Linked DNA regions of Coturnix japonica. The main gene of each other region encodes a partner of the protein of the gene in region 2 in a complex. Links are inferred from orthologs where the notes say so. Each region holds a gene or a part of one and is shown on either strand. Other genes may lie near its edges.

Region 1 (4,601 bases), on a different chromosome or scaffold from region 2:
CCTCTGCTGGGGATGGGTCTGTTCCTTCTGTCCCCTCAGCCAGGGCCACCAACGGGGCCAGGAGTGCCAGCGCCTTCCTGCAGCTCTCCCACTCAGCACCGGGCGGAGAGGAGCCCTGGCACTGCCACAGGCACATCTGCAAGACAGCAGCCATGGCACCACCAGCATCACCCAGCAATCAGGTACCACCACCCCATCTGTCGCCATCCCATCCCCTGGATTCATGCTGCCAAGCTCACAAGGAGCCAAACTTTGTGCCTTCCTAGAACCTCTGGGTGCCAGTGACAGCAACCCACAGACCATGCACCACCACCCTGTGTCATCCCCGAGCTGTCCCTGCTGTTGTACCTCAGTGCTGAATGCTGGGGGCTGCTCGGGGCCAACACTCACCAGGGGCTGGATGCTGCTCTCGGTGCCACGTGCCTGGTTGGTACAGAGGGAGCACTGGGTTGCACAGTCGGCAGAAGCTGTTGCAGCCAGGGAGAGGCAGAGAACCAGCGCCAGCACCTGCTGTGCCATCATGCCCCGCTGCCTGGGGAGGGTGAGAGTACAGACAGCATCACCCATCTGAACACAGAGCTGGGAGACAACATCTGCCCATGCCCAGAGCCCGTCGGTGGGCAGCAGGTACCTACCTCCTCTGCCTGCTCCTGGGGAGCTGTGCCTGCACCCACCTGACTTACCTCTGGGATTTGGGAGCGACCCAAGGGATGCTGCAGGACACTGACCCCGTGTGGGTTCACGCACAAGGACCAAAGCCCCATCCCAGCCCTCCCACCACCCAGCACGTACCATTTGCAGGCAGTCTCTCGTTCCTTCCAGCATCACATCTCTCTGCAATATTGCGATCGCACGTTTGCATGGCACAGAGGGGATGAATCAGCCCTCCCCTTGGCCTTGGGAAAGAATAGTGCTAAGACATAGAGCTGCTAGCAGAAGGAGACAGGATGCAGGGTAGCACTGAAGCAACAGGTCACCCACCTCCAGCACAGCCTCGCCCCATGCTGTGTCCCCTGCATCCCTCATCCCACCTGCTGCATCTGCGTGGGGAGGGGGAGAACGCTGATCTCAGGCTTATTCCTACCTGCTGGCTGCAACCACCATCCTCCAGGCTCCGAGAGCCCTGCACGAGGCCAGGAGGGCTGCATACACTGTGCAGGGGGATGGAGTGGGGCACCAGAACCCTGAGCAACACCTGCAGAACCCAAGGGCCGCAGTGCCACCAATCCCAGGAGCAAGAGCCGACCCAACAGCATCCCACTGCCTCTGCGCCTACTTCAATCCAAGGTGGGAAGGCATGACCCAGAGGGATCAGTTACACGTTAATGACGCATATTAGAGACTATTGTATTCTTCAGCGCTGTCTGCTAATGTACTCTAATTGGAGCTGATGAAGAATTGTTAATGCCACAGTATTAATTCGTGCTAAATTAAATTTGAATTTGAATAATCTGCACCATAGTGTGTCGAGAAATCTGCATTCTTCAGCTGCACCACATAACCCGAGTGCATCACCTTGGGATGGGCACAGACATGGGCACAGCAGCACTGACAGCCCCTGCTCATCTCAATGGCTCCGAGCGAGGAGAGAGGACTCACCTGCTGCTAAGGTAAATGCTGGCTGTGCTATTGTGCCTGGAAGCTGCAGCCCTGCAGTGCTCCATGCACCCAATGTGAACGTACCTCAGTAAAGATGGAGAGAGCAGGGCAGGGAAAGGGGAGGTAAAGCAGGGCTTGGAGGAAAGTGAAAAGAGATGCTCAAAAAGGGGACAGACAAAGGGAAGAGGAAGAATAATGGGTTTGGAGTGTGGGACCGTGAGACCTGGAGCACCCTGAGGTGAGCTCTGCCTGGAACATCCATCCTGGGGAATGAGTCTGCATGGTCACAGCAGAGCTGCAAGGGACCAGGGCAGCTCTGGGTTCCTCCCTGCGTCCTGTGTTTGCTGCGTGGCCACTCCTTCTCTGCCCCTTTTTCTGTTCAGGTTTTTGGTGCCAACACACAGGACAGCCCCAGGTGTGTCTGTGCACCACAGCTCTGGGTTCCAACCCCGGCTGCACCAGCACAGAGGGATGGAGAACAGCCCTGAGTGTGCAGCAGGTGACAGAGCACAGCACGGCCATGGAGGGCTTTGCTCCCAGCCATCACCCGCTGCATCTCTGAGCATTTCTACACTGAGATGTCACCTCGCAGTGCAGACACCCAAGCTGCAGGTGTTTCTCCCAGGCAGTTTGAGACACACAGACACTTGTGGAGGAGCAGAGCCCGCTCCCAGCAGCTCTTTCCACTCCTTACATGACCTTTCGACCACCATCACGGCACACCCAGCACTGTGCCATCACCCACCCCATTCCCCCTGCCCTCCCCCTGAGCTCAGCTTTGCTCTGGGGTTGCGCTGTCTCCATATGAGCACACAGCCATGGCACCAGTATCACCCCAAGCCCCAGCAAAGCGATGCTGCGAAACCACCAGGGGATGAGTGGGGCACCTGCAGCGAACGTGTGAGTCTTGAAATAAAGCAATAAAGCAACGAGTAAAGTGTGAGACGCTCCCAGCACGGCAGCTCGGGGACGCTTAGAAACAAACTGAGTCACAGTCCCTCGAGCAGCAGTGATGCCCAGCATCAAGGTGCGTGCGGGTAAAGGGAAGGGAACCCCAAATCCATGCACCCCGACCCTACCTGCTGTGCGCCCCGTCCCGCTGTGCTGCGCTCTCAGGTCAGGCTGAGCTGGGCATGGGCCACGCTGGGTGCGCACCGTAACTCACCGCCCGCCGCCCGCCCGCCAGCTTTTATGGCCACCGAGTCTCCTCCTGCGGCGGGGCCCCACACCGCTCAGCGCTGCGGAGCCAATCGGGGCGAGGAAAGCTGTGAATAATCAGCCCCGCAGCATCCCCGACACAGCCCTGGTGGGCTCCGTCGCTGCAGCCCCCAGGGATTGGGTGTGAGCGCTCCAGGTTGCCCCCTGGTTGCTGCTACCCCGTTGGGGTCCTCGGCACGGGCAGTGGGTGGGGGTCTCTCTTAGCTGCTGGGTGCTGAATGCGAGCCCTGCCCGAGGTGGGGGAGATGGGGAGCCCCCAGCCTCATGCTCCCAGCTTGGGAGAAGCCCCAGCCCTGTGTTGAAGCTGGGGAGAGGATGGAGGCCACACAAAGGGCAAGGGGCAAACCCAAACTCCTCCTGGGGGCAAACTCAAAGAAGCGAATCCAAAAGGGCTGGGGGAGAGTGGTGGTGGGAGGCAGGGAGCTCCTACACCCTCTGCTTAGCCCCATACCCTGGGCACATATCTCTAAGCCCAATTTGGGGATGGACAGTGCTGGGGAACCCCCAGCCCATGAACCACAGAGCCCCATCAGCACTGCATCCTGACAGCCCCAGTGCCTACACACCAGACCAAGGCACTCTGCCCCCATTCCATCCCCATCCCCATCCCATCCCCACTGCCCCACTGGCTGCAGCGCAGCCTGCCCTCTCGCCTTGAAGACGGAGCTATTTTTATCGGGTGCTCAAGAGGGATGTTTCCCAGCAACCTGCCTCTCTCCCCGGCTCGAGCACCAGCTGCTGGACGTGGTGCTTGCGCTCAGCCTTCCCCAAGCACAGGGGAATGGGCACGGCTGGGAGCTGGTTGCCTGCACTGCTGCCACCACCTTTGGGGTGCCACATATGGACGGCACGTGGCACTTCGTGGGTTTTGCTGGGTGTGGGTTTGGGCTCACTCAGGCACTAAAGGAGCAGGGCATGGAGAGGTGAAGCAAGGGCCGAGCATCTCCCAGGGCTGATGGAGGGGATGTCACCTGCAGAAGCTGTGCTGGGAGGTGGCAGTGCTGCAGGGATGGGGATGCTCAGTCCCCATGGAGGCACAGGCAGAGGACAGCTGTGTTAGCTGTGTTTTCACCCCCAGCTGAAGGTTTGTAGGTGCAGAACAAAGCCGAGAACAAAAAGCAGCCACAAACCACAGTGGCATCCTCAGTGCTATGCGGGCAGCCCCAGGAGGTTTCACCCTCACTACTGAACACCACGGGGTTCCACAGAGGGTTCTCATGCTGAAAGTAGAAGCAGTTCCTGTCTCACCCTGCACGTCCCCCAAACCCAACCTCCTGCTGGTGCACTGTTAGTTCCCATCCTGCTGTAGCTGCCCTGGGAGCCCCGTCTCCAGGTGATCATGCCCAGGGATCATGGTGTGGAGCATCCCAAAAGCAGCCCTGCTGGCAGCAGCACCAGCTCCCAGCACACATCTGGAGCATCCCCATCCCCATGTGATTGCTCCATAGGCAGTGGGGCTCCTGGTGGCTGAGCTAACCCCAAGAGCACGGGATGGAGCAGGTGCCTCCACCTCTCTTGCTGCAGGAAGAGATCCGGGTTCTCCCATCCCCAAGGCACCGCAGCCCCCATTGTTTTCTATGTGCGCAGATCCGGCCGCATTCAGCTCCCTGCGGTCCGGGTGGGTGTGGGGGTGACACGGCCCTTTTGGGAAAGGCGCTGCCACCGAACCCACCCACCTGCGAGCGTTAATTAATATTCATCCGTCTCTTCCTAATGGGAACCTGCCTGTGAGTCACGCTGACATTTCCCTGGGACAATGGTAATTAAACACCTGGCTAAGAGAA
Region 2 (3,811 bases):
TTTTAATATTAAAATAAGTACTGGTATACCAGTATACCAAATAAGTACAAATAAGCACTAATATAACATTAAATTTAATGTATACAAAAATAAAAATAAAATATAAGCATAAGTATACTCTGAAAAGTTTAAAAGAAAGCATTAGTATAATTGATTCAGTTTTAATTTTGGAAACATTTTTAATAAGAACATTCTCAAAAGAAATTCTTTATCTCCTTCACAGAAAAAAAATACAGCAATGCTTGCTACATTTTATTTAATTTCATAAATGACAGTGATATTCCAGCAGCCCAAATTATCAAAAATAAATGTAATGGCTGTTTTAGATGTCATAGAAATTTACTTTATTAAAAAAAATAAATCTTATCCTAAATTAATAAAGTTGTCTTTCCCAATGACACGGATGCCACATGGAATCCTTTTACTTCTTTGTGGTTTACATCAATGACCAATAAATATCCCTGTCAGAGACACAATATCATGATCATCTTCAGGTGTTTGGGGAAAGAATAAAACCCAGGGTTCTTCTGGGGTACTTCTTTCCTGAAGTTCAGAACTAGGTATAGCAGTACAGTGTCATAAAATAAGCATTTAAGATTTATAGTGCTTTGTCCACTCTGAAGCCAATGTATCAATATATTTTAAGAAAACGTCACTTCAGATGGCACTTTGGTATAAAGATTTATTAAAATATTTGATAATCTACCACTTAAGATTCATCTCAATCCTTGTACAGGATATTTATTTCTATTAGATATCTTAGTAACATCTCAACTGAGTTGTCACGTTGGTGCCCTTTCTTTTCTAAAGCAAATGCTTCTTCAGCAATAAAGGCTCCATTAAGTCCAGAGAGGAAAAATTTATACAGATATAAGGAAAATGAATCTGGAAGGACACTCCAGGGAGAAATCCTGCACTGTGAGAGTAAAAAGGACTAATTGAGCATGGTCTTGAATCTTTAAATATAGTCAGTTTCTGTTTGATGTTGATTTGTTTAAATCCAAAGCAAACAGAGGCCCCATAGCATATAAATGGCAGCTACTGTTACCAATGTAAAATAAAGTTTCTGTCCTGAGCTCCAGCTGTCAGGAGGATCCCCTTTGCCTCAGCACAAGTTCACTTCATGAACACACCAGAAAATATAACTGGTAGTAAATGCTCAAGAGGCACTGTAGATCAGACATGCAGGGATGAATAGTAGGGACTGACAAACAGTTACCGATGATTTCCAACCTCATTTGGCCCAGCTGTATCTCTAATAGCTACTTCAGGAGGAAAAGATATCTACCTGCCACAAGGTGTGAAAAAGGCATTTAATTGTTTCTGTGTTTGGAAGTGATTTTTTCCTGAGCTGCACATGGCTTTATAGGGCCTGAAAGAACTTGATAGGGAAGAAGAGTTACAGCACTGCAAACTGGGAGGCTTGAACTCCCAGATGTCCAAAAGATGTTTCCAGAGACACTCTCCCCTCACACACCTACTGTAAGACTAACAGGGAAATAAATAAATAAATAGATAAATAAATAAAATAAAATAAAATAAAAATTTGAATATCCTCAATCAAATAAAACAGCCCTTGAGCAGCTGTTTTATTGATGAACACCATTGTTTCGTTTGCACTTATCTATGCCAAACTGTTAAACACACCACATTAATTTTCTCTCCCAGATAAAACTGTGCCCTTACATAAAGTTTACCAGTTCTCCGGGGAGGAGTGAAAACTTCCTAGTGGAAAAGGCAGCTAAATGAGCAACTTGTTAAACACCCCAGACAACACTACTACTAAATAAATATGTATGCCTTGTATTTTGTGAAGCCAAACATAACAGGATGTCATCAACACCAGGACATACGTTAAAGGTTTTGAGCTTTTTGAAGACACAGTGTTGCACCCACATTGCTGGTACACCTGTTGGTATGAAGAATATATATCTGCCCTTCTCAAGGATTTCAGAATAAGATTAACTCTGTAGCAGAACAGATTTAGTAATGAGTCACTGGATATAGGGGCTAAATCTGCAGTCCTTCACAGATTATAAATTTTAAGTAGAGTCTACAGGTGCTCCATGGACAAATTGATTGACTTTATTTTCTTGTAGTTTCTTCCCTGCCATGCTCTGCATTCTTGGTTCGTCAACGGATGCTTATTCTCAGCCTTTTTCAAGTCTACATACATGTCCTCAACTCCTTTTTAAATAAGAATTTCTGACACTGTGATTTTCTTAGCATTTATCTTACCTTTTTTTTTCTCTTCTTCTACTGTCTTTCTTCCTTTTTTCACAAGATCCTTAAGTTCTGTGAAATGACTGCTGACAAAAAGCTCCCAAGCTTTAACATTAATGCTGATGAGAAGCAATCTAGTTTCTGCTCTTGAAACTTCATCAGAACTACTCTCACAATGCCTATAAAAAGAACTCTAAGCCTACATTTCAAGTTTCATCTGGTCTTTGAACCATGTTCAAATTCCTGACCATCTCCCCCTGCTGTCTGTTGTTATTTTCTTATGGTCTCAGTCTAGCACAAATAGTGCTTTAAAGTACTTTTGATTCTTTAAGTTGTCAAGGACATCTGAGCTTAAATTATTTATATGTCATATTTAGAAATGTCAGAAATTTAGGTATACTTATTGAAACAAGGAATGTGAATGATCTTCTAAGTGTAAAATATGCACAAATTACTGAAGTCAAAATCAATCAACTGTAGTCAGTATTCCAAGCAATGTGTCAAATAAAATAAAGTCTCAGGTTTGAATTCTCACACTCACCTTCCCTGACTTTGGTGCCTCCAAGAACTATGGCAGATATGCCAACAGACGAGGACAGCAGCCAGATACAGATGTTGATTATCTTTGCCTTGAGAGGAGTACGGAAGTCCAGAGCCTTCACAGGGTGACATACAGCAATGTATCTATCAACACTCATCATGGTCAGTGTGAATATGCTGGTAAACATGTTATAATAGTCAATTGAAATAACTATTTTACACAGCACATCCCCAAATGGCCAAGAGTTCATCAGGTACTCTGTGCTTTGGAAAGGCATAGTCGTGGTAACCAGTGCATCTGCCATAGCCAGATTGAAAATGTAGATGTTGGTTGCTGTCTTCATCTTTGTATATCTGAAAGACAAAAAAGTACGGTTTATGTGACTATGTTCAAGTATGTAACAATTTTTCAGCCAGTCTGCTGTTGTTATTTTTTTTGCTATCATTTCAGATTTTTGACAGAAATGCACATATTCAGGACCCTTGAATTAACAGTAAACACCCTTCTCTCAGTCCCTCAGCAGCTACATTATGAGTTACAGCTACCCACTACATGTAAAACCAGATAATGAATAAATTAAACCTAAATATTCAAATACAGATTTCCACGCTATCTTCTCAAATACATCTACAAACAAATATCATTGTTACATTTGCAAGTGACAAAATTGTTCTGTGTTTCCTTCTCTTGTTGCTGTCAGTGGTTACAAATTTTCTGAGTTTGTTTTGTAGGAGCAATAGGTATTTCATTCCCCTAGAGGAATATCTGTTAATAGTTACATTTGCTGGGCCAGACTGCCATCTTGTATCAGTTCTAGAAGTTTCTCTTCTTTGCTCCTACATTTCCAATTTCTCTTCCTTTCTTATCTCCAGCTTTTTCCAGTCTCCTCTACCGTGATTTCTAATATAAAGTATGATAATTATTGAAGTATGATATCTCAGTGGAAAAAACAAAAACAAAAACAAAACAAAAAAAAAACCAAAAACAAAAAAACATGATAGCAATGTTTTCTCTGCATCCTTTAATTTCATCAAAACAAAGCATTTG

What was found.
Region 1: the proteins of OPRK1 (region 2) and PDYN are in contact, whole or in part, in a cryo-EM structure (PDB 8F7W), measured with the Homo sapiens proteins. The link is inferred for Coturnix japonica from reciprocal best matches to the Homo sapiens genes OPRK1 and PDYN. Residues at the interface, in NP_000903.2 of Homo sapiens: Thr111, Gln115, Trp124, Val134, Ile135, Asp138, Tyr139, Met142, Lys200, Glu209, Cys210, Asp216, Tyr219, Lys227, Val230, Phe293, Ile294, Glu297, His304, Ala308, Leu309, Tyr312, Tyr313, Ile316, Tyr320; in NP_001177821.1 of Homo sapiens: Tyr207, Gly208, Gly209, Phe210, Leu211, Arg212, Arg213, Ile214.

What each region holds. Positions count from the first base shown.
Region 1 is NC_029535.1:9,245,705-9,250,305, forward strand, and holds the start of PDYN (proenkephalin-B), read right to left. Parts: upstream 2,807-4,601; 5' UTR 2,679-2,806; intron 533-2,678; 5' UTR 523-532; coding exon 391-522; intron 137-390; coding exon 1-136.
Region 2 is NC_029517.1:99,604,154-99,607,964, forward strand, and holds part of OPRK1 (kappa-type opioid receptor), read right to left. Parts: intron 3,118-3,811; coding exon 2,765-3,117; intron 1-2,764. UniProt on the Homo sapiens protein: G-protein coupled opioid receptor that functions as a receptor for endogenous alpha-neoendorphins and dynorphins, but has low affinity for beta-endorphins.